Neodiprion lecontei: one gene and its partners. The protein of the gene in region 3 purifies or fractionates together with the protein of the main gene of each other region. This does not show direct contact. Links are inferred from orthologs where the notes say so. Each region holds a gene or a part of one and is shown on either strand. Other genes may lie near its edges.

What was found. Proteins that work in one complex are often made in the same cells at the same time.
Region 1: the proteins of splicing factor 3A subunit 3 (region 3) and splicing factor 45 purify together in Homo sapiens (affinity purification with mass spectrometry; 4 studies listed by BioGRID and IntAct, counting the BioPlex papers as one, with this or other methods). This does not show direct contact. The link is inferred for Neodiprion lecontei from reciprocal best matches to the Homo sapiens genes SF3A3 and RBM17.
Region 2: the proteins of splicing factor 3A subunit 3 (region 3) and PHD finger-like domain-containing protein 5A purify together in Homo sapiens (affinity purification with mass spectrometry; 3 studies listed by BioGRID and IntAct, with this or other methods). This does not show direct contact. The link is inferred for Neodiprion lecontei from reciprocal best matches to the Homo sapiens genes SF3A3 and PHF5A.

Annotation. Positions count from the first base shown.
Region 1 is NC_060260.1:29,029,553-29,037,920, reverse strand, and holds splicing factor 45, read right to left. Parts: upstream 4,677-8,368; 5' UTR 4,533-4,676; coding exon 4,416-4,532; intron 4,216-4,415; coding exon 3,904-4,215; intron 3,631-3,903; coding exon 3,187-3,630; intron 2,960-3,186; coding exon 2,672-2,959; 3' UTR 2,605-2,671; downstream 1-2,604. Other genes in the region: gamma-interferon-inducible lysosomal thiol reductase, read left to right, coding at 770-883, 1,119-1,334, 1,417-1,737, 1,888-1,974. UniProt on the Homo sapiens protein: Splice factor that binds to the single-stranded 3'AG at the exon/intron border and promotes its utilization in the second catalytic step. Involved in the regulation of alternative splicing and the utilization of cryptic splice sites.
Region 2 is NC_060261.1:2,318,116-2,326,300, reverse strand, and holds PHD finger-like domain-containing protein 5A, read right to left. Parts: upstream 4,168-8,185; 5' UTR 3,921-4,167; coding exon 3,869-3,920; intron 3,592-3,868; coding exon 3,401-3,591; intron 3,329-3,400; coding exon 3,239-3,328; 3' UTR 2,605-3,238; downstream 1-2,604. Other genes in the region: MAGUK p55 subfamily member 7, read left to right, coding at 5,030-5,054, 5,547-5,833, 6,104-6,235, 6,426-6,452, 7,018-7,185, 7,265-7,336, 7,422-7,546, 7,673-7,800 and 1 more.
Region 3 is NC_060263.1:30,615,245-30,623,746, reverse strand, and holds splicing factor 3A subunit 3, read right to left. Parts: upstream 5,026-8,502; 5' UTR 4,931-5,025; coding exon 3,428-4,930; 3' UTR 3,089-3,427; downstream 1-3,088. Other genes in the region: HEAT repeat-containing protein 5B, read left to right, coding at 1-39, 150-425, 501-782, 858-1,047, 1,140-1,309, 1,380-1,701, 1,808-2,077, 2,188-2,369 and 12 more. UniProt on the Homo sapiens protein: Component of the 17S U2 SnRNP complex of the spliceosome, a large ribonucleoprotein complex that removes introns from transcribed pre-mRNAs.

The DNA.
Region 1 (8,368 bases), on a different chromosome or scaffold from region 3:
GCCCGCATCTTTTTCTTTTAACATCTTTGTCTTTTCCTTTCCCCGTTTTCTTTTTGCCTTTATCTACGTCTTTTTTATTCTTATCCTGATTTTTGTCTTCCTTAGGTGCCATTGTCTTGTAATGATTATGCGAGAAGCAAACGACTGAAACGGATATTTAAAATTGCAGTAGAATTTAGCTATGAATTTATAATTTTTTATATTTTTCACATTTCCTAATTTCGTTACATGTTTGGTCGTGAATTACGGAGGAAAACAATATGCAATAGTCTAATAGAAACAAGTGATTAGCATATAATTACTAAGATAATATTTCCTGCGCAAATAGATAACGGTCATACTTGGGTAATTTTCATTTCATTTCAATAGGCATTCAAGCAGACTCAAACTTGATACAAAACTGAGTTAATCAAAGTATGGAGCGAGTGTTTGTATTGGTGAATTAAATATATGATATATTATCACGCCAATCGTACTATTAGATTGCATCAACAAGGGTGATATCGATTATCGGTAGATATCGAAATCGACGCCGCCATATTGGTTTCGAAATAAACCCTTGCGTACGCAATGAGTTTGCGAAACCATAAGGTTTCGATTAAACATGCGACGCAAGATTAACTAATACAAGCTCAGCCGTATTAAATATGAGAAGCTAACTTTATCTCTGTGTAAAATTAATTAAATAAACAATCCCGTCATTCCAAGTTTGCGTATGTGACCGCTTTGTCTATCGCAGTAGAAAGTGTTTCTTTTATTATTATTTAAAATGGGACTCGGAAGCTTTCGATACCGTCTAATAATATTACTTTGCACTGCTCTCGTTTTGTACCAGTCAGCCAAATATTGGCCGTCTCTCCAATTCAGCGATGATCCTTCCCAGGTAAGCACTACTGGAACATAACCTTACCTATTCGAACCGAGCATAAACTAGGGTTCATGCAAAGCAACGCTTGGCAATTCGAGCCCCAATTTTAGTATTGAACATAGTTAAATGGTTAAACCACCACCAGCCAACTTTCTCAGATGAGGTTTTTTACCTCTTGTTGATTTTAGTGAATCTTGAAATCATAGTTAAAGATTTTGTTTTGCTTAAACCTGCTTGAACACGCATTAAGTCTTCTGCAGCAAAATCACTGGCGGCCCAAGAGCTAGTCGAAGGAATAGATATAGCCGAGCCGCCAAAGACGGATGTACAGAAGGTGCTGGTCTCCGTGTATTATGAAGCCCTTTGTCCAGATTCAAAATTTTTTGTAGTCAAACAGCTATTGCCAACATTTCAAAAGATAAAGGAGAACCTGCAGGTAGAACTCATACCATATGGCAAAGCCAAGGTAAGTCGGGCTATTCTGCTTATCCCCATATGTTAGAATTCAATCTTTTGATTATTCAAGTTTTAATTCTTTCCTCTTTCAGACAGTCGAAACTCCCACTGGGTACGAATTTACGTGCCAACATGGGCCACTCGAGTGTGAGGCAAATATCATACATGCCTGTGTTATTGATCTAGTCAATGATCAGTTAATACAGCTCGATTATATTTCTTGCATGATCCAAGACAACATGCAACCTGAACGAGTTATGCATCAATGTGCTGCCAAGGTTAACCTAGATGTCACACCTATAGAGAAATGTTATAAGGGGACAAAAGGGAAAGAGCTATTGGCCAAGTTTGGGGAAATGACAGATGACTTGTCTCCCAAAGTGGTATTCATACCCACTATTACGCTCGACAAGGTAAGATAAGTATCTTAGAAATAGTTTTTATCTAAGATTATGCAATCTAAGAATTATTAAATTTCATGCATAATCTTTGTTGATATCGGTGTCAGTACAATTTCCTGATCATCCTTTATCTGTCATCCATCTTGTATATTTTTTTTCAAGGACTCGAGTAATCAGGCAGCCATTCTAAAAAATCTACTTAAAGAAGTGTGTTCACGACTGAATAGTCCACCTCTAGGTTGTGCATAGCATCTCATTGATGTTATCGAAGCTATGGCTGTAACAGCATAATTCTATATTTCAAACGATCTGTTCCTACATATCACGACGCTCACCAACGAAAACTGTGCTTGAATTACCCCAGTTACAGGGAAGTATATCAAATACATTATTTTACAAACAATTATTAACTGCGATTATGTATGAAGAATAAAAGCGTTACAATATGTTTGAACTAACTAACTTCTGATCAACTGCATTTTATAATTTGGATTTGCATTCCAAAACTAAATACAATGATTATCACCCCATTAAAGAAATCTGTAGTAATGAAAATGCCTATATACACATCATGTTTAGGGTATTTTTACTCACTAATCAATCTCACGGCCTTCGAATGTAGAGAAAATCATGAACGTCTGTATATTTCGTGATGAAATTACCCTGTATGAATTTAACATAATAGATAAGTAGAAACTCAAATCGAAATATTCGTGTATTTCGTATGATTCAAAATTACAATTGCCTATCAATCCAAACAACCAAAATTGGAAGTCTACGATAAGAAACCACGATTGCTAAAACCTACTGTTAAATGCAGTGCAATAATCATCAGCCGAATAAACAGGTAGCAATTACGATGAAAATGATTCAACTCAATTTTAATTGACAGTATTTTATTATTCACCAACGGCGCACATTTAAAAAAAATTCATGTATTTCAAGTTTAGTCCATCAATTGCAAGGTGTCCAATTTTTCACAGGAATAAAATCCAGCTCTAACTTGTCTTCCGCCAAAGAAGCGACCGTTTAAGTCTACTACAGCTTTGATCGCACTTTCTATCCTCTTAAACTCTACAAATATACGCACTGCCTCTTCAGCCGGGACGTCCATCACCTCGTGAATCATAACACGCGATACATCCCCATACTTTGTGTTACACTCGTCCTTGACTTCTGGCTCAAGATCTTCATCCACCTCACCTGGTCCAACCATATTTCGTAAGAGTACCACCTTTTGAAAAAAAAATTCACATGACTGATAATACTCATATACCCAGACTTAGTGGGAAACGTAAAAAGCAAAACGGGCATGGTGAAATTTCACAGCCAGTTGAACAAGGTTTGAGATTCGTATGCCTGTTTAAGATCATGTCATTTAACTAAAGAGAAACAAAATAGACCTGTACTAAAGGCAAATAATTTTGCGCAGACTTCTACGCATGGCACTACTATAATAACCTTGCTTGGTGATTTCATAATCTCTGTAATGCTTGGCTCCTCCTGAGGAACCACAGGTTGTGGAACAGGGGCGACAGGTAGTGGTGGCGAAGGTACCATGGGTGGTGGAGGAGGCATCAATTGTTCTCTTTCGCCAACTATCCTACCACCACGTTTGCTGGTTTTTTCTACTTGTAAAGCAACAGACATTCCCTGTTCCTTTTTACCAAGACCCTGGCCTTCTTTGAAGCCATATTTTGCCATGATCTTTGCAGCTACGGAGGAAGCACCGTAGCCAAGATTCGATGCCTGAGGTCGTGCTGGAGGTGGAGGAGGTGCTAGATCTGGTGCCTCTTGAAGGGATGGGGGAGGTGCTATAGCTGCGCCACCGCCCACTCCTCTCGAAGTTGGTGTTCTTTCCTCGTCTCTTTCTGGTGCGACCATTGTGTTGCTGCCAGGGGAAGTCTAAATTGGGATCATTTAATTATGTATATTGAAGAAAGCATGATTGTTGTTACATTCAATGGCTTGGAACAATCTGTACACAAACTGCTTAAATATGTTGGATATTCTTCATGATCTAAACTAGTATTCAGTTAAGACGACAATAGAGAAGAAAGAGCTTTCTAACTTTGACATATAAAATTGCCAGCCACAATATTGCTTATTTGAAACAAAAATCCAACGACTTAGCGATACCAGTAAAACAATGAAAATTGAAAAACTCGATTCCCATACCTGTGGATCTTCAAATCTGGTAGTGTCGCGTCTGCGTTTGCGTAATTCATTTTCCTGGTCGTGTTCTCTGTCCCGAATATCACGTAATTCCTTGACGACTTTTTCGTACTCGTTTGGCCACATTGGGTCATATTCATTTACTACGTTCCAATCAAACTCGCCTCCGACTCCGACATTATTTGTACCACTAAGGGTAAGAGAATTTCCTGTTTGTGAATCTTCGTCTTTCTCGCCATCGCGGTTAACCTTTGATTTCAAGTCAATCACAGGTGCCAAAACTGCCGCAGCTTTTCTGAACTGTTCTCTTTTTGGCTATAAAAAATTGTTCTTGATATTAGTCTTCAATTTAGAAGTAAATGCGAATGTTTTATTTTCATATTCCCGGCACGGAATAAATAAATCTTGAAACTGAAATGTTTTTTTGAAACGAAATTTTCGAAAGTTTTCGATAACGGTAAAACGTTTTGAATTATTGAATGTACTTACAAAGTAGCGGTTAAGTGAAATATTACCTGTGTAGTTGCCGCTTTTTTTAATTGCAGCTGGGACTGTAATAGTTTAATACCCGATGACCACCCTGCGACTTTTTCTGTTGTTCGGTGCTTATCAAAATCATCGTACAATGACATTTTTGTACTATTTCAACGTGGATGTTGTTGACATGTCAAATATAACCTTCAATCATTCAGTCTGCACTAGTCTGTAGCACGATTCACAGTTCTTGCAAGAACAACCATTGAATATAACTGAATGGAATCGTGCATATCGATGCGTTTACCAGCCCTTACCAGATAAAGCAAGTCGATAAATACAGGGCGCCACATATACTGATGACCGACTCTGCCGTATTTAGCATCATCTGAGCAGTGGATAAGGCAGGGCATATTTACCATAGCAGAGTGTCACAGTAGTGGTAACGAAACTGAACAAATCGCAAACATTATCACTTAGTATTTCTGCAGCAGGAAGAAATAATATACAATCTTTGTAAGCTCATAATTTAGTGTAAAATCTTATCTATCATCTACTAATACATCGACCTCGAAGGACTGAATCTAGGTAGCAATAACGATTCATTCCTTTGATAAAGTTAGGTACTTCTTTAACCAATATATTCATAAAATCGTTCCAAAAAGTAACTATCGCTCCGCAAAAATTACAACATCTACATTTACGAACACCACTGCTTACATATCAAATTATGTACAGATGCGTTATCGTTAACATTATCTTATTAGTTTCAATCCAAAGTTCGTACAGTGAGAAAAGACAAGGTTTGCCATTTCTTTCTCATTTATCGTTTATTTTTAGACACATCGTATTCGGCGAAAAGTTGTCAGAGAATTCATATTCACGCCTGACCACGATGTAAGTCTTTCTTGGATCGTGCGCCTGACGCAACTTGCTCCGGAAATTCAACAAATTCGGTCGCGTTGCGCGAAGTTCGCATGGCGCTTCCGGCCGATCAAGACTTGCTTCCGAAGGTTCCGAAGCTTCCGAGCAAAGAGGCTCTTTACATCTACCGCTTGCGTGATGGCAAGTATAGTAGAATACGAGTCGGTAACATGCAACTACGTCGAAATGTAGTTTCAAAAACCTAGTTTGTGTCGGATGACGCTTAAAAATGGAGGCCACACAAAACGCTAGAGTAGGCTCTCTCTATCAACTCTGTGGTCTGGGGTACCTTCGTGTGAATATCATCCGCCGGATGACGCTACGCTGCAATTGCTTGTACAGAATTTCAGGTAATTTTGTAGTCGTAATGTTGATAATGATCACCCCAAATTTTTAACGTTCAATTTGGAAAAGTGAAACCAACGCGCTATGCGATACTCGCTGAATGCATTAAATGTATCAAAATCTAATTGAACAAGTGCCTTTTTCTAGCCAGTCCGAAATAAGTAACGTACAGATCTCTAGTGTTTTGATTAAACCACAGGAATTTACTCTCCCACTTACGTTACTCTTGTCCTGTAATAACTACGTTCATACATGCATGGGAAGATACTTGGACATCGATATAATTATATTCTAACTTTGATCTCCCCTTCTTAATGGGGGGTCGTTTTTATACGCAAGCCCTATAGCTGATTACGGTTATAAAACTGTCGTAACATATTAAAACCAATGAAAGCATTTTTAACGAGAAAAACTACGACGACTAGTCGTTGGAACATGGGTCAACCATCTCATTAACTTATCATAGAACTAAGAGCCAGCTAAAACCTGTATTTCAAATTGCCAACGGGTTGCACGCGTACGTGACTCTGAAACAGTCACCAATGTGTACAGCCACTCAATAACTCCAGATCATGCGAAGTGAAAATTAAACTTTTATTTAAATCAAACTAAACCTCGCCTACTGTCTGTAAATTGACGATGAGATTTTTCTGGAGACAATCTGATTTTTAAAAGGGAGGAAGAAAACACAAAATAAAGAAAGCCTTAAAAAATTCTCGAACCATCAATTCATTGCATTTTTAAGACCATAATTTTATTACTCAGCAACATATAATACACATGATTGCAGATTATGCAGAAGATCATTTATTTTCCTTTGCCATTTCATTCTTCCGATAGTGGAAGGAATGACTGATAGCAACCAGAAGAGAATCGTGGGCAATGTAGGTACTTCCACGTTCAAGGTCGTATGTTTACTCTGATTTATCGTCGTACAAATACGTCGTAGGATTATCACTTATCATAGCCATATTGTTGCGTTATCGAGAACGTCTACCATTGTTCGCATATATACCTGTAAGATATACCGACATAGCTATATACATATATCTATATCCATACCATTACAACAAATTCACTTTATGATATACAGTTGTGGACACAGTATTCATTCAATAATACTCGACCGACAATGAGACGTCGTAAGATCCTTCGGTGAAAATAGTTTTCGTTTGGACACAAGTTCCCAAGCGCTGCCACGCTCGTATAGCTACAGCTGTTCCACGCACATGCAATTCGTTCGGCCGTTCCAAGTTTTTGCTGTTATCGCATTATGCGATCCGTGTGTATGGATCCTGAGCTGCACACGCGCTATGGCACCGGGAAGTGTCAGTGATGCCTGGTCCCTGTGGAAGTTGCGGTTGGGGGAGTAAGAGAAGGGGCGAACGAATCGATGAATGAACGAGTGCGCTCGTGTCAAAGGATATAACTGCAAACAATAAACATAATGATTGAAGTATCGAGGCTCGCCGGCTGCGAACAATTCAGGTACTCAAGTTTCGCTTCTACGATTTACGTAACGAGATACCGTTCCACGAAATGAAACGTCCGCACTATGCGAAGGCCTCGTCCATCCGTTTCAGACAAAACCAAAACCCGATGGGACCGCTGACGTAACGCGATTCAACGCCAGTGGTCCTCCTGCAACGTCCGTATTTCTTCGAACAGTATAAGGCGAATGAATGTATCTGCCCGTCGTAATATTTCTTCAAGGAAGTGTTGTAAATCCTTATATGCCCTGCAGTGCGTGCATATACACGTAAACAGGTATAACTCGCGAATAAAACTATCGCGCGACTCTATCCCCGAGCACGTATGGTATGCATATGCATGTGTAACGGTATTCGCGCAAGTGTACGAGTTTAGCGAGTAGTTTTCCGGCAACGAAGCGGAAGTCTCGTCTGTAAGTAAATGAGTCTCTGGAAGGGGTGAATCGGGAGCGAAAAATAAGTGGCAGCGGCGGCGTGCAGCTTGATAAATGCAAAGTTCGAACTTTCAGCTTCTGAAAGTAGTGGGTTGCGTAGCCATGTGTGTACGGGCTTCAAAGTTATTTATTAATAGCAAAGTTAACTCGGTGCGCACCGGCAGGGAGTGGCAACTGGCATCGGGTACCCGAGGAGGTCCGCGCGCTGAAGCGGGCATGACGCAGTGACGGGGGGCCACGACTGCCAGCGTCCCGCCCGAGTGCCGACGCCGACGCCGACGCCGCCGACTCTCTCCTGCCCACCGGGTGAGGCGCGCGGAGCCGAGCGGAGCGACGGACGCATGGACGGACGGACGGACGGACCGACCGACCGACGGACGAAAGGACGGACGCTTTGTCGGCGCCCGCGGCGGAGATCAAACGCGCCGACCTTACCCGCCTCCCTTCCCTCCCCCCTCTCAGATTCTATCCCTAACCGAGGAACCCCGCGCTGCGCCGAGCCGAGCCGGGCCGGATCGAGAGACGAGCAAAACCGAGGGCGAAGCTGCAGCTAGAGAGCGGTAAAAGCGTATTGCCGGTCTACCTGGACCGATCCTCATCGAGCCCTGCGTTCCTTCCATCTGTGGCGAATCGTAACCGCGATAGATACCGCTTGTCTTTATCGATTTAATTAGTACGGTTGTATTAAAAGCACGGGTGTGCGTATTATCTTGCGAGAAATACTCGCGGCCGCGCCGCGGCGATGATCCCGGTTATTAAAAAGCGCCCGCGTCGCCCGACACTGCAGCGCTGATCGTAAGG
Region 2 (8,185 bases), on a different chromosome or scaffold from region 3:
AAACAGTCTTTTCAAAGAAATTTTAGACTTGTTTGGCGTTAGATGTAATTAGATAGACTGAAGTGCAGCTAGCTAAAAAAAAAAAGAAAAAAAAACGAGTATAGTACCTATATTCAAATCTCTAATCATCAATTCGCAGAAATGTTTTATTTATGTTCGTTTTTCTCCCGTTTTCGAGATTTTAACGTTCAGGCAGAGTTATTAACAAATAGTGCAGAATCGTTCTGTTTACTGTGCAAAAGAGGAATAATAACTTGGTGATATAATGATATATCTAAATAAATATTTTAAATTCAGTAGTACGAAATTGGGGTTGTTGTAATAAAATTTACAAAAGATATATGTAACACACGACGAAATTTGGTCGGAAGTGAAAAAAAAAATTATTTACACTTCCCCCACGCTGCGACTACAGTAATTTGTATGTAAATATACACAGACTTGCTATAATCAATTAATATTGAAGCAATATTATAGAATAAGTGATAAGAATACAGACCTACTTTTGAGCCAATAAATACTGGACTATAAGGAAAAACACACACATAATAATGTCCTATAAATGACACGGGTGAATTGATATAATTATTCAGTATCAAGCAATAATGGAGTAACGAGGATGAGATGGAAAAAAAAAATACTAAAAATTGAAAAACCGTATCCAATAAATGTTTCACGTATGTCGATACCTCGCAATAGTAAAGATATGAACAAACTCAATGTAACAACATTTCACAAAAATGCAACACATGTACAAAGAGGCAGAAAACAAATAACCAAAAAACAAAAAAAAAAAAAAAAAGAAAGAAAAACGATTTACAATATTGCCTAAATACAATGATCAAAATAATTATCGAATTTCATGTACAACATACATGCTATGAAACAATCAATTGAAAACTGATCACAATAATCGAAGATATGTTTAAAAAAAAGATTATGTAGCTTAGGAATTGACACGAATTTTGTAATGCATAATTTCAGACTAAAGAATTAATTTCGAGAGAATGAATTCTGTTTTGGAATAAATTTTGGTAGGAACCTATGGCCCTCCCGCCCCGTCCAGACGTTATGCTTACACAATGAGATTGATGTCGATGTTATAATACGAAATAATAGCATTTCAATGTAGAAAAGTCCTGTAATTATAATTTTATCGTCTTTTATTAATTGTTGTAGAAACAATTACTAATGGTGCTGGTGTAGAAAAAACCCCATCAAGTAAACATAAAAATGTATCGCTTGGCGTTAAAATATGTAGATTATTAAAATTAGTTCGCTTGTAAGATTATTTTTCTTTTTTTTTTTCTTCATCGCAATCGTCCAATAGCGTGAATTTTCTTTTTTCCTTTCTAATAAGTTTAATACTCTTAATATGAGGGATATTGAATTAAATTAACACTTGGCCAATTTCACGGTCAGTTTAATAAGAACTAAATATAAATGTTAGGATCCTAAAAAATATTGGATTTTAGAATCTCATATTTGTCATTAGCGTAAAGTTTATATGTAAACAAGTACAGACGTAGGGTAATATTGCTTACGTCTTACTGTCCTCAGAAGTAAAATTCAATAGCTGCAATGATGTTTAAATACAGAGAAAAGATTTCAAGTATTTGCTCTTTACGATTAATCAAATTTTTTGATAAGTATATCGTATGACCAATCGAATGGCTTTGTGTATTGCTAAGAATTAGCTTACGCGGCACCCATCGATCTTTAACATGTAGAATAGTGAATTTGTGAATAGTAAAAAGAGCGATTATTACAATGATAATAACCGATGATCACGTCGGTTGTTAATCATAAATTACAGCTGAGAAGTACAATACTGAAAACTAACCATCTCATGCATGTTAGCGATGATAGATTAATTGATTAGTGTTTAAAGTAAAGAAAAATATATATATAGGTATATATGTATACCAAAAAAGAGAAAAAAAAATAGTCGATCAAAGTTATATCGAATTTTCAGTAGGTTATGAATTGCAAGTAGTTGGTCTATCACTCGTGGTTTATCATTGTAAAAACTTTAATTCTCTTCTCTAATAATTTTACTGACAATACCGTCTACTAGAAAATGACTTGATAAGAAATAACTAATGCAGCTCAACAGTATTGAATATTGGCCAAATAGGGTAATATTTTACCAAATAAGTTTGTGCCCAAGTTAAAGTGAATTGAATCAACGATATGAAATGAATTTCAACAGCTTTATTATTAAACTTACATATTTCCCTAAGTATAAGGGTAGAAATAATCGGTATTGGTTTCAAAGTTTCGATTGATATTTATCGAACAAAGATTAGAATAAAAGTGTTCATATTCTCAGTTAAATAGCCTGACGAATACAAATATAATACGACACATATGACTTTCAACAATGTTAGTAAAACTGTTAGAAAATGTTTAATAATTGGTACAGGTAACTGAAATTGTTACTAAATAAACTATTGGATTGTAATAGTCATACGCTAAGTCAGACACTGTAGCAGAAGAGTAATGCAAGTGGAATCGCCTAGAGAATTGAAAATTTGAATATTTTATGCAGTCTTTTTAAACAGTTATGTATTTCTAAAAAACATGGCTTTTTGCAAATGTAAGTACAGTCTTTTGGAAAAACCTCTTTGCAGAAGTTCTCTCATATATAATACTTGTGAAACGGTGAAAGACAAGTTTTTCTTTAGCAAAAATCGTGCCCTCAAAATTGCGTGCCAAAATGTAACGTCTGTGTTAATAAAGATTGTTTGATCTGCGTGCATTATTCTTCTAACACTATTTCTTTAGATATGTGGTTTTAAACGTATTCAAAAACTTTAAAGTACGTTGTGTGCAAATATAACGTAAAAGGACGAAAACAAATTGTAAAAAAAATTAGGAAAACATAATTCATTCGTAGAATAATGTTGATGACAAATGAATAGAGCTATATTTAAATAAAAATCAAATATAACTTTTCACGATCAACTTTCATTTTCCAATTATCCCTTGTCTAAATCCAAATCTCTGCAGGGGATCGACGGACAGGAAATGTAATTAGGAATCGGTCCAATGATTTTGCCTGTCGTTGCCTCGTCATAAATAAGAATAAAGACGAAATACAGATGTACGAATATAATTCAACCGTTTATTATAAAAACACAGAACGCAATGTTCCATCCTCATTCATTCTCATTTCACACATCATAACTTACAGATACCGAGATGTTGTAGTCTATACTTATACACATAATTACATCTATCGTCGTTTAAATCCATACTTTTTCCTTTCGTAGAATAGATCCGTTTTCGAACTTCCCAGGTTTACAATTTTCGGGCACCCGTCTCTCTGTCGTAAATATTTAAAGAATTAGCATTTTCAGCGTCGCCAATTTGAATCTATGATAACGATCTTACGTACATCTTTTTCTTGAATTGTACATTCTTTGCAGTAATATGCATCAGATACACCGGGTCCTCCGCAGATAACGCAACGGCCTTGGTAAGATCCGTAATTACATTCGTCACAAATTCGTACCAGTGTACAAGGCCTCACATACGAGTCGCAGATTACACATTTTCCATCACACTTTTCACATAATCGACCAATAGCTGGAGACGGAAAATTCAAATTGTTTGTAGAAAATTATTCACAGGTGAAGCCAGGTTGGCTAGGGTGATGTTAGGTTATGTCAACTTGTAGAATCGGCAGAATGAACCATGAAGTAATATTTTCAAGGTCGCAGTTTCGAAAACGATAATACCAGTAGCCATACGTGTTTCACGAGCTATTATTAGCAATGAAATAAGTCATAAAATCTCGAAACGAGCGGAGATAGTAATGATCAGCATTGCGATCAAGTCTTACGCTATTTTTCAAACAACTTACCAACGCCCGGCTGTTTCCTACAAAATATCAAATCTGGATGATGCTTAGCCATGCTTTGGAATGATTAGCGTCCTTCGGATACCTCAGAATACTTAAATTATTTTGTCAATATCAACTTGCAACTTTTCAAAAAGGCCGACCTTACCGAAAACGGATGTATCGGTATCAAATTAATTTTCAACATCGGTACCTTCACCCGCCACTAGAGGGTACATTTTCAAACGCAAATACAAGGAATTTGAAATTTAAACTTGCTATGATTATTGAAATGAAAGATTAAACGAAACGTAGATGGAATTGAGACAAACGTTATATTCCCGTATTTCACACAAATAATCAAACTATCAGAGAGAGCGAGAGAGAGAGAACTGAAAGCACAAGTCTTCTATTTCGTTTATGCTCTCTCTCATTTAGACACATTCGGTAATCCACATCATGCGTTTCGAAATCAGCCCCCGGTGCTGTCAACTATCTTACGTCGTTTTTCGCTATAGAGTTCGTAGCTGGTTTTAGTCCTAGGGAGTTTTCAGCGCTGCCAGTTAGTTTTGGAACGCACTCATAAATTGTCATAGACTATTGACTGAAGACTGGACGGCTATGCTAACAAGATTTTGTGTACTTATGTGATTATGTGATAAAAGGCCTCCGCCGATAAAGAAGCTTCAGATCACTCCAATTCCACTTGCTGAGTATTGGTCACAAAAATTTATCCAAGGGTAACAGATTTAAATTCTTCAGTCAACGCAGACTCACTCACTCACCCCCTCGCACCCAAATTCAGAATATATTCGCTGATGGATCCGCAGTGACCAGTGACAATCAGATTAGAGGGAATAATTCAGACAGCTGCAATCCTCGGATGCACGAATTTACCAATCCAAGTACCAGAATTAGCTTCCTCGTAGCGCGTTCGCTGACTGCAGTTTGGCATTATTTGGCATGTTAGAGCACAGTGCGAAGTGTCGGTCGTGTGCGTATTTTTGGACATCGCGCGTATTTACGCGTACGTATTATGTACGTGAGAAAAAAGTAGTAAGGCTTCAACTCGGAGGGAAGGAATAGGGTGATATTCGACCGTAGTAAATTTTGTATCATTTCTCAATCCTGCCCTCTTTATTGCGCGAACGATTTCGGGGTGAATGACGGGTCGCAAGTCCCGTAATGGATAATTCTAATTGGGATGCAGGTGAGTCTTTAAATTATTTCGTTATTTCTACCCCTTGATAATTTGTTCTGGTTTCACGACATTGGCTGAAAATGTGTTGAAGAATTGAATATTTTCACCACGGTATGCAATTTTCATGTAAAGAATCACCGAAAGTCAATGAAAAATATCTGCGCTACATTAGTCAGTTTTATTTGTATATAGATTTTTAATTGAAATTCTCTCGTAAGTAATTGTCTCAATTGGGTAGGACTTTTCAAATCAATTCTATTGACATTTTAAACCGTTCGTTCTAAACTAGAAGTAAGCAAAGCTGTGAAATCTTGTTGATCTTTCAAGCTGGACAGGTTCTCGAGTCCTTACATCAAACTTGTAAATAGACAATAACTATTTATAGAATAGTCTTGAAGCTCGGTTATACACAGTTTTTATGCTTATCTCCTATTTCTATTTCTCTGTACAGGTACTCATGCTGTATGGTATTAAATTTTAGGTTTTTCATTTCATTTTCAGCCTTATCAAAGCTTCTCAATTCACTGGAAGATAATAAGACTGAACTCCCAAGTTGCAGCGAGGAGGAGCTTAATTTTCTCAGTGAAATATTAAAGTCGAAGGAGCTTAACGCGTTGGTTAACGTTCACAACAAGATCATAAATCTCTCCAATGATGACAAATTCTTTCCTGTATTATCAAACTCCATGGACGTCAACATCGACGTTTTGGATGTACTTGTGCCAAAAACACGTGGATCCGCAGATTGCAAGCAACTATTTCTTTTATTACAGAACCGTCATATGCAGGTAAGAGAAGGAAATCAATGAAATTAAAAAATACAAGGAGAAATTTCAAATGAAAAATCTTTTCATTCTGCAATAATAATTTAATTTAGGGAGGAAAGAGATGATAGCAATTCAATTTCGATATATATCCTTCTTTTACAAATATCAAGTATCATGCTTGGAACAATTAAACGAACTTTCACGGATGAAACAAACTTATTCACGGCACTCATTTCGAACAAGCGACAAAAAGAAAAAAAGTTAAATCCATTCACACCCTTGGATTTTCAGGCTCTGCTATGCACTCATGACGCAGTTGCGAAAAAGGAATACTACCCAAAAATTCCTGAACTACCCCTGGAAGTTGACGAAGATGATGAAATCATAAAAATTGTGGAGCTTATTAAGTCCAACGAGCCCTTGGTACGTCTTACCGATCACATCAAATTTTCTAGGATTAATTTGGTTTTAAGAGACAGCATAGAGGGACAACAAGATTACTAGAGTTACGGCGAAGCATTGGCTTTTTTCCCCTTCCCAAGATAAATAAGAATCATCGAAAGGCCAATTGTATTAACGAATTTCTTTTATAATTGACAAACTTGCTTTGAAGTGCGGTCCTGGTGTTGAACCAATTGTGGTAAGTTTCTCATCGGGCTTTGAAGATTGGTTACTTTCATTGGCAAAACGTGAAAGAAAAAAAAAAAAAAAAGCAAAGAACAATAATGATGAAGAATCACATCCTTTCTCTCTATGCATTGAAATATGAATTAGCCAACTTTCCTATTTCCCTACTAAATTCGATTCCCGACCATTTTGGTGCCAAGTATCATTAGTTACCCCCAATAGTTATACCATAACCGAGCAAAGTTGAACCCTGTAAAGATTGTTTAAAAAATATTGCACGGTCACTAAATACTCGCGCTTCAACCGATGAGTCAAGTTCTCTGATTCCGCTATGCTGTGCTATAAACTGCACTGTCGACAGAAATAGTAGCTGTCTACTACATAATGCTCTTGTTCCCGAGCACATGATTGAGTTTCATGATTTGTTTTTTTATTGTTTTTGTCTACACTTTCTGCTCAAATGCTATGCTTGAATATTAAGACAGAAAAGCATAATCGATCAAAAAAACCATAACTACGGTAACCAAATTCAACTTCTGACGAAATAAACCTATATATCAGTTCCCATTTACTAACAGGGAGCAACGATAAAGACTTGCGAAGGAACCGACAAGATAGTCTTCGCGCGAATTCTTCTAGGTGGCCCGGCAGACAGATCTGGGGCTATTCATGTCGGCGACGAGGTTCTTGAGGTGAACGGTATCAGCGTTGAAGGAAAGACACCGGCTTGTGTACTGAAAATTCTCGTAAGCAGATTTTTACTCCATTGAAAATCGTTTTTTGGTGAAAAAGTGCATTATTCACCATTTTGATATGATGTTTTAGGACGATTTTGAGGGCACAGTAACATTCAAACTTATTCCAGCGAGTAGCAGGTGCGGCGTCAGAGAAAGCAAGGTAACATCGAGAAACCTTGTAAAATTATAATTACAATAGGTATGTTTGAAAAAAGGATGAAACTTCCTAACAACCACTTTCACAGGTTCGTGTTCAGGCACATTTTTCGTACACTGCCGCGGACGATCCTTACATACCTTGCAAAGAAGCAGGATTAGATTTTGTCAAAGGGGATATACTTCACATCGTAAGTCAGGATGATTCTCACTGGTTAGTATCGTTTCAAGCGGGGATAAAAACGCTGAACTAAACTTTATTCAGTAATTTCTTGTGAAATTAATATCAAGCGATCTTCCTAGCTTGATTTGAACGTCAAAACATTTTATTGTTTCAAAGGTGGCAGGCGCGACGTGAAGGCGATCGAAATATGAGAGCTGGCCTCATTCCGAGCCGAGCCCTTCAGGAGCGAAACATCGTCTTAGAGCGACAGCTCAAGGAAAAGAGCGATGAATCTGACCATATAAGTATGTAGTACACGTTGCTATTTCATTTTTAACTTTGTAGAGTATCACAGGTTCGATACAGACAAAAACAAATCAATCCTCCTTATCTCCTGCCTCTCTAATTCGATCGATGAAACTTTGGGCTGCTTTTGTTGATAATTAACCGCCACGCACTCCTAACTATCGGTTAGGCCTGTGTTCTGTTCCAGTGGCTTTGCCTGCCCTGTGTCCCCGTCCCCAGACCTCTTCGCTCGTCTTGCCCACAAAGTGCAACTTGCAGGGTCCTAAGACTAAAAAAATCATGTATGACGTGGCAGAGAATGACGACTTTGACCGCGAGGAGATACCGACTTACGAGGAGGTTGCCAAACTCTATCCAAGGCCCGGATTCTACAGACCTGTCGTC
Region 3 (8,502 bases):
GAGCATGATTCATGCTGTTTGTATCGTCCTGTTCCAAACGTGAGTATTGTTAATCTGTCTGGTTTGCTCTCAGCGAACATCTCATTTGACACATCAAGAGAATTTTTTTATGCATGAATGAGCTATATGATGTTTATTATAATTCTCAGGGCGAAATAGTACCGGGACCACTTCCTCTAGGTGTTGCTGTTATCGATATGTCAGTCTCATTATTTGGACAAATATTTCCTCGCGTAGCGAACAAACACAGATTGCAAATGTTGGACCACTTCAGCGAATGTATTAAACATGCTAAAAGTGCCAGACAAGAAGCGGTACAAATGAATGTCTTTACAGCCGTTCTTAGTGGATTAAAGGGTCTTAATGAGGCAAAAACTAGTTTCGGCCAAGAAGATGTAAAAAAATCTGCAACCAATCTGATTATCGTGAGTCACTTGGTCCACTAAAATAACTATCCCTTCAAAGTATCGCAATTTAGAAAACGGTGTTAACTTTTTTAGAGCGCACTTGTCAGTAGCAATTCAATCCTGCGCTGCGCAGCTGGTGAGGCAGTCGGGCGAATGGCACAAGTTGTTTCAGACTCCAAATTCACCGCAGAGTTGGCACAGACCAGTTTCGATCGACTTAAATCGGCTCGTGATGTGGCTAGTAGGACGGGTCATTCGCTGGCACTTGGTTGCCTGCACAGATATGTCGGAGGAATGGGTTCTAGTCAACATTTGAACACAAGTGTCAGCATTCTGCTTGCTCTCGCCCAAGACAATACATCTCCTGTTGTACAGGTACGTTTTTCATCTAATAAACCTGCTGCCGGTTGCACATCAAGCTATTTCTAAGAACGTCATCTTTCGACTTAGGTTTGGGCATTGCATGCGCTAGCACTTATTGCCGACTCTGGAGGCCCGATGTTCCGAGGCTATGTCGAACCGACGCTGTCATTAGCATTAACTCTCCTCCTCAACGTTCCACATTCCTACATTGACGTTCATCAATGTATTGGCAAAGTTCTGTCTGCACTTATTACCACCATTGGACCAGAATTGCAAGGTATGTCTTTCGTATCATCTATATTAGCCTACTCGCTAAGTCTCGACGAAAATAAGTTAAATCAAACTCACATCTCTACTGCAATTTCACAGGCAATACATCGACCATATGTATGGCACGGTCATCCTTTTTATGCGCTTGTGCAATAATGCAAGATCATCAGGACCCGCTTGTTCAAGCTGAAGCTACAGGGTGTTTACAACAATTACATCTATTTGCGCCACGACATGTTAATTTGTCCTCATTGGTTCCCACATTGTGTGTAAGTTGTTACTTGGAAACCTATCAATTTGTCACAAATCAGCAATTTTATCGATAATCATTAATTGCAGCGCACTTTGTCAAGCAATCATCTTCTACTTCGCAAAGCGGCAATATCTTGCCTTCGTCAGCTTGCTCAACGGGAGGCGAAAGAAGTATGTGAACATGCGATGACATTAGCCAATGAAAGCAGAGATACGAACATCGTCGAGGGTCTTGTTATCACGGAGACAGGTCTTCCAGGAGTTTTATTCAGCATGCTAGATACAGAAACGGACAGCCGACTAATAAAAGATATCCACGATACTCTTACCAGTATGCTTCAAATGCTTGCTGCTGACAACCTATCACAGTGGTTATCCCTTTGCAAAGATGTTTTAACGGTAGCTTCAGGTAAGGAGTGATGATTTTCGACTCCTTGTTACAATTAGCGAGCTCATGGAAATTAGTAATGAAATAAATAGTGTTCAGAGATGTACGTAACGAAACATATTTTTAGAGTCGAGTACGACAACAGAAGAAGTCACTGCTGTTCTAACTGAAGATAGTACAGCGGATGATGAAGGTGGTGAAGCAGAAGGTGATGATGATCAGGCCGAATTTCACGCAGAAGAGTCAACACGGCAACGTCCAGCTGTCTCACCACGTTGGCCGACCAGAGTTTTCGCTGCTCAGAGTGTACGACGGATTATCACTGCTTGTCTTGTCAACAAGCAGGCACACTTTGATCTGGCCTTAGCTAAGGAAATGCAGCTCACCAGAGGAAGAGGTATGTACCACGCCTGGATTTTTCTTTCCTGTTCTTCTTTCACAATCAAAATGATTGGGATACTTATGGCCCATATTTTGTGATTTGACAATTTAATTTTCACCTTTCAGGAGATTTTCTAGTACTACACTTATCAGATCTAGTGCGTATGGCGTTTATGGCTGCGACCAGTGATTGTGATCCTTTGCGATTAGAAGGTCTCAAGACCTTACAAGAAATAATTGATAAATTTGCCAAAGTTCCGGAACCAGAATTTCCTGGACACTTACTTCTGGAACAATTCCAAGCACAGGTGATTATTTTGCTAAAATTTAAAACACGAAAAACTACTCAGTCTATATTCCCATGATCAAATAACGATAATCTTATCACAAAGGTTGGTGCTGCCTTGAGACCAGCGTTTTCTACAGAAACAGCATCTCACGTCACCGCTGCAGCTTGTGAAGCTTGTAGCGCATGGATTGGTAGTGGTGTTGCAAGGGATCTCAATGATTTACGCCGAGTACATCAACTGCTTGTATCGTCGTTGGAAAAATTAAGAGGCGGACATTCTCATCAACAATTATACAATGAAAGCCTTTCTACGTTAGAAAAACTGGCCATATTAAAGGCTTGGGCTGAGGTAAATACGTAATTCCATGTTACAGATGATTCACCACATCATTCAATAATTGCAATAAGCCATGTGAGAAATTCATCGCGTGTGTTCTGATTCAATGTTGTAGGTGTATGTGGTGGCAATGATTAATGATGGTTCAGCACCTGGAAATGTAGAGACGTCATCAAGAAATAAGGCTCATACAACTGCCGCAAACGAAGAAGAAGGCTTTGGCGAATTTGAGTTCCAGAATGAAAGTTTACTCAGTTTAGTTCAGCCAGAGTTATTAAGTCTGAGTCAACATTGGTTAGCTGCCCTGCGCGATCATGCATTACTCTCCCTACCACCTGGTAAGTTATCCCACTCATATAAAAAATGAATTTTGGAAATACAACTGCTAGATATTTGCGGAATTTCATTTATAAATACATTTTTATTAGGTCCTTTATAGTTCATCTTTTCTTACAAATATGGTCACAAAATCCATTTGAGAATTGGTGAATATGTAGTTGAATTTGTTACAGCATAATATTTAATCTATATTATACCTCGTTCGTTTGAGGATAATATATTTAAATACACATTAGAATTTATAAAATTATTAATTCTAGACACGAATCTCTTCTTTAGCTTCGTGTTTAAACATGTGTTTGATTAGTATAACAGAATCATGCATACAAGAATATGGAATGAAACAAATGAAGCCTGCGCGATACATGCTGTACAAATTATTACATTAATTGCGTTCAAATTCAAAGTAGACCCTGGCGTTTCAAATCCTCGTAAGTTTTCCGATTCACAACATTTCCTAGAGAGTCTTCAAACTCCTCTTCTTGTTCCGGCTGCCAACGTTCCGACTGTTTTTGTGCTTTGAGCTTTTCCCACAGAGCTAGAGCGTCCTCGATCTGTGTGACGTTGGCAAAATGCGCTGTATTTGGTATCCCCAAACATCTCATACCGTGAGCGTGTCTCCACTCTGCAAAATGCCTTTGGAAGGCTTTGGGTCCCTTGTACGTAAAGTTTCCGCAAATTTCGCAATTGTAGCTGATGTTGAGACCGTGAAGTTTGTACAACCAGTATGGTATAGGCTTGCCATCCCAACCGAGGGGTAGATTTTTCGGATTATACGGAACTTCGTTGTCATCTTCTTCTTCCGACTCGCTGGCACTAGCATCTGCATCAGAATCACCTCTCTCACCCTCCGTTCTCGCCTGTTTTCTTTGAACATTTTCTTTAGTGGCGACACGCTGACTAGATACCAGCTCGGCAAGCCTATACACCTGAGCCTCGAGCATTGCGATCTCCTTCTGCTTTTCCACGTCTCTTCCTTTGCCTGGTTTTCCCGGTTTGTTTTTGGTCAGCAGACTCGGATCTAGAGAGGCTTGTCCCTTAGTGCTAAACAACCTCTGCGCTCTCTCTTCCAAAGTTCCACCGCACTTAAGACCCAGCGCCAGTAAGGCTGATTTTAATCTGTCCAGACCTAGCGAGGCGAGTTCTTCCCAAGAGGAAAAGGCGGAGAGCTCTAAGTGCGCCCCAACGTTAGTTAGAGCACTTCCGGTCTCCTTTGGCCACCCTGGAAAGCTGCTGTTTTCCCAGTGTACCACGAATTCTCTATTGGCTGTTTCGATTTCAGCATTGAGATCAAGGAGCGGACGAACCCTAGTCAGATATTCGGTCAAGTACTCCAGGAGCGCCTCGACGTATCTGCGATATTCTGCGTTCTTACGCTCTCTTGGAATGTCAAATAAATGATCGAAAGTCGACAGATAGGTTATGTAATCGACCTTTTCAATACCTTTCAGGTTTATATACTTTTCGTAGCACTCGTGAAGATCGAGGTATTTCCCGTAGCCCTCTTCGTCGGTAAATTCGACGAGATTTGCGAGTTCCTCTGTTGGATTTTCTCGCATTTTAGCCAACTCCTCGAACTCTACCGACATCGGGACGCTTATCTCGTTCGGATGCCGCCGATAGAATTCCTTGATGGACTTGAGTCGCGAATAAAATTCGGAGAACTCGTTCGGTCCCGACAAAGCCTGGACCTCGTCCTTTCGTTGGCCATCGTTATCCTCGTAGAGATCCTGCAAATGCGCTGTGCTGTCCATGTGTTGGTCTAATAGCATTTTCAGCCGATGTTCTGAATTTATCGTTTCTCTATGTCCCGGCTTCTTGTGCAACATTTCTTTGACCATTGCGTCCATGAGACGCTCCCGTTCTTCATGATAGCGACGCTGTTGCTCTAAAATTGTTTCCATCCTATTTTTTTCTTCACTAATGTGCACTCGAATGTACTCTGTACTACTTCACACGTAAACGTACTATTGATTACTGTGTCCGCCATTTGCAAAATACAAAACTTGGCTCATACGGCTCCAGATCGTAGCGCCGTGGCTAACAATGAGACCAAGTCAATCACTCAGGCTGTACGTCAGACTCTGACGGTATTGTAGTTTTCAACCGATGATTGAATATTGAATACATTCAGGTTTCCTTTTTCATTTTATTTTCAAAAGTGGATTATAGAGTCTTTTGATGCAGAAAAAAGAAAAAGTAGAAGATACCAAGGGTGCAACTTAATTGTTTCAGAATTTTCAAGTCAGCTTCCTCACGATGGAGGAGCTTTTTACACAACTGATACAATGGAATCAGCTCGTCCGTATTACCTTGAGTCTTGGGCTCCAATACTTCATGCAGCAACACTGTGGCTGAATGCTAGAGGCTTCGAATCTCCAGAACCTGCCAATGTCGATACTAATACGAAGAATAAACTTGGCCGTAATAATAATAATGACTCTACCAATACAGAATCTAATGTCGAACGATTCCATTTATTGTTTGGTAAGATTTTTTCTGCATACCTCACAATGAAAAATCTCATTTTACAAATTATTGCATTGAACATTCTTCCATATTTCGCTTCAAGGTATATGCATGGAAGCTTTGTGCAGTCCTCGATCTTCGGAGTCTACCCAAAGTGTAGAGACATGTCTGAGTGCTCTCTACACCTTACTTGATTCTATATGGGCACGCAACGTACTTATGGTTGATCGGTCCCTTCCTATTGAGCTTTGCAATGTTCTTCACAGGTAAGTTACAGAGCCAATACAAAATCTGAAAATTGCTAATTTTATTCGATGTATCAACAATTTTTAATTTCATTTTTCATTATCCTACGTTGCCTTTCGCTGGTCAACAAAATTTTATTCATCTTATTCTAACTATACAGGTTGCTACTGACGCGAGAAAGCTATACCATTCAAATGATGGTAATGGAAGTACTGAAACAAGTAATGCGTGCTGCTCAAGAAGACCTTGCAGATCGGAAAAAATCGAAACTCAAAGGTTGTTCATGAAACTCGTTTTTATCAATGATTCAATACATTATTTATTTTATTACTAACGCATAGAATTCGTTCACTTTCAGAACTTGTTCCTGCAAATCAAGAGTCTAAAGACACCACAGAGGTCGATGAACTGGGGGAAGGGCAGGAAACTGGTGACCTTATTCCAGGACAATCTTTAGTTTTTGCTGTACTAGAAGTTTGCTTGTGCTTACTCGTACGACAAATACCAGCGTTGAATCCCAGTCCAGGTGGTGCGACAACGGTGTTGTCTCATCGGGGATATACAGCATCGGAGGAATGTGGCAGGCTCATTGCTGCCACTCTGAATGTGATGGAAGGTCTTCCAAGGCTTTGTTCTCCACAAGGTTGGTCCTGAAATTACTTGATGTGTCGATGTATATCATCGATAATTTATAATAAAAAGAATTCTCAACAATCACGTTAAGTTAATACTTGTTCGTAAGAACATATTTTAAATCATGCTGATAAGGTGCATATTTTGCTATCAAGCTTTAGTTCGGTTTATTTTAAGTTTTACATGTACGCGATGAATACTTAAACTGCATTGTCTCACAGGTGCCATTGCGATTCTACCCACGTTGTTATATTTAACAACTGGGGTAATTAGAGAGACTGCGATTCGCACAGATAACGATAATTCTGGGGTCGGACCTGGAGCACCTGTGCACGGGGCTCTGCATTGTCTCAAGAGTCTTATGACCAATAAATACGCAACTGATGCAAGAAGTGAACAACAGTGGAAAACTTTGCTTCAGAGTGCTCTTGCTAAAATAGTCGATCTTGCAAAAACAGGTAAGCCATATTAAATCTAAAATCATCGTTACTGCATGTACGTACCTCATTACGACGTACATTCATAATGATTGGATTGCAGGTTGTGATGAAACGAAAATGGATGAAGTTGCGATGATGTTAGGGATTGCAGTGTTTGTCCTCCACGCATCCCCTGAGGTTGTGAGTGCGCCGAACTTACAGTACCCTTGCATCAATCATTTTCGGCAGTGTCTTCAATCAGAAAATACTCTGGTGAGTACGAACTTTCGTTCTTGCCCGGTCGTCCTAGTACCTTATCATTGAATGAGAAAATGTATCTTTCTTAAAGGTTAAATTAAAGTGCATACAAACATTGAGAACAATCTTCATGCACTATGAACGCAGTGTCAGTACTCCCTACATCCACGCTCTCGCACCAAGGTTGGTGGAATATCTGTACAGTGAATCGAGCAAACAAGTATCAAACGAAACTCAGCTAACTCTTACATTAGAAAGCATAGCAACGATTGAAGCACTCATATCATTAGCTGAACCTGCTAATCGTGAGTAGATAATAAATTGTAACTGCTTTCACAATTATGGTTCTTTGTATTGATAAATTAAATTTTGCATGCAAACCAGGAGATCTTATGCAAGGTAGGTGACGATTTCCAGGGTGTTCGTTCTATCAGTTATTTTCAATAATATCCACACCAACCAACTACATGGTATCATGTCATTGGATAAAAAAAAATATAATTGGGAACTTTTTTCAATTTTCAGGTATTCAAATGCTTACTCTGTTGGTGCCTATTCTGATAAATTATCTACTGGAAGGTGATGCCTTGCGCCATGGATCCAAATTCCAAATCACTCTCCATCAACAGAGTTTTCAATGGCTGAATAAAATAGGACCAAAGTACCCTCAGGTTTGATACTTATAATTTTTCTGCAATGAATTGTACGAATATTGCATAGTCCACATAAAATATTGCATATTGTGCAGGAATTTAAGACGTTGATGGCACAATCTACAGAGTTGAAAACAAAGCTCGAAAACGCGGTGAAATCCAGCCACCAGCAGCAGGTTCAAAAGCAATCAAGATTATCGGAGCCAGTGAAACAAGCAATTAAACTCAACACTGCCCCTTCAATTAAATTAAAAACAGATTTTTCTAACTTCAACTAAATAGTTGTAGAAACAGAACTAAGTATATCATTCTTAGTAGAACACTATACCATAACATTTATGTTGCTATGTTAACAAATTGTGTATAATACTTTTTCTCATCAAATTGCTTACGGTCTAACATTCCATCAGAGTTCAGATAACAATAAGTGAGTATCAGACAATTAATTTTTAATATTTGTAATCTGATAAACCATGCATAATTATCTGTCTGAAATTTTACGTTCGCTGCGACATGGATGACCGATGATTCGCATCCCGTACATACAGTAAAAAAACTCGTAGCATCGAACATTTTAGAAGTGATATTTAGTTTTTTCGTTTCGTTGCATATTTATCAACAATTGATCCTCGCGGCGTACTGCTTGTATACTAATTTAACAGTTATTAATTTACTGAAGAATTTTCGAGCGTAAAATATGATTCATTAGACCGCAAATTATTTGATGAAACGATTGAAAACAAAGGGAATGCTCAGTGACCACAATAAAGAGTTATTTTTATATTATATCATTTTAGG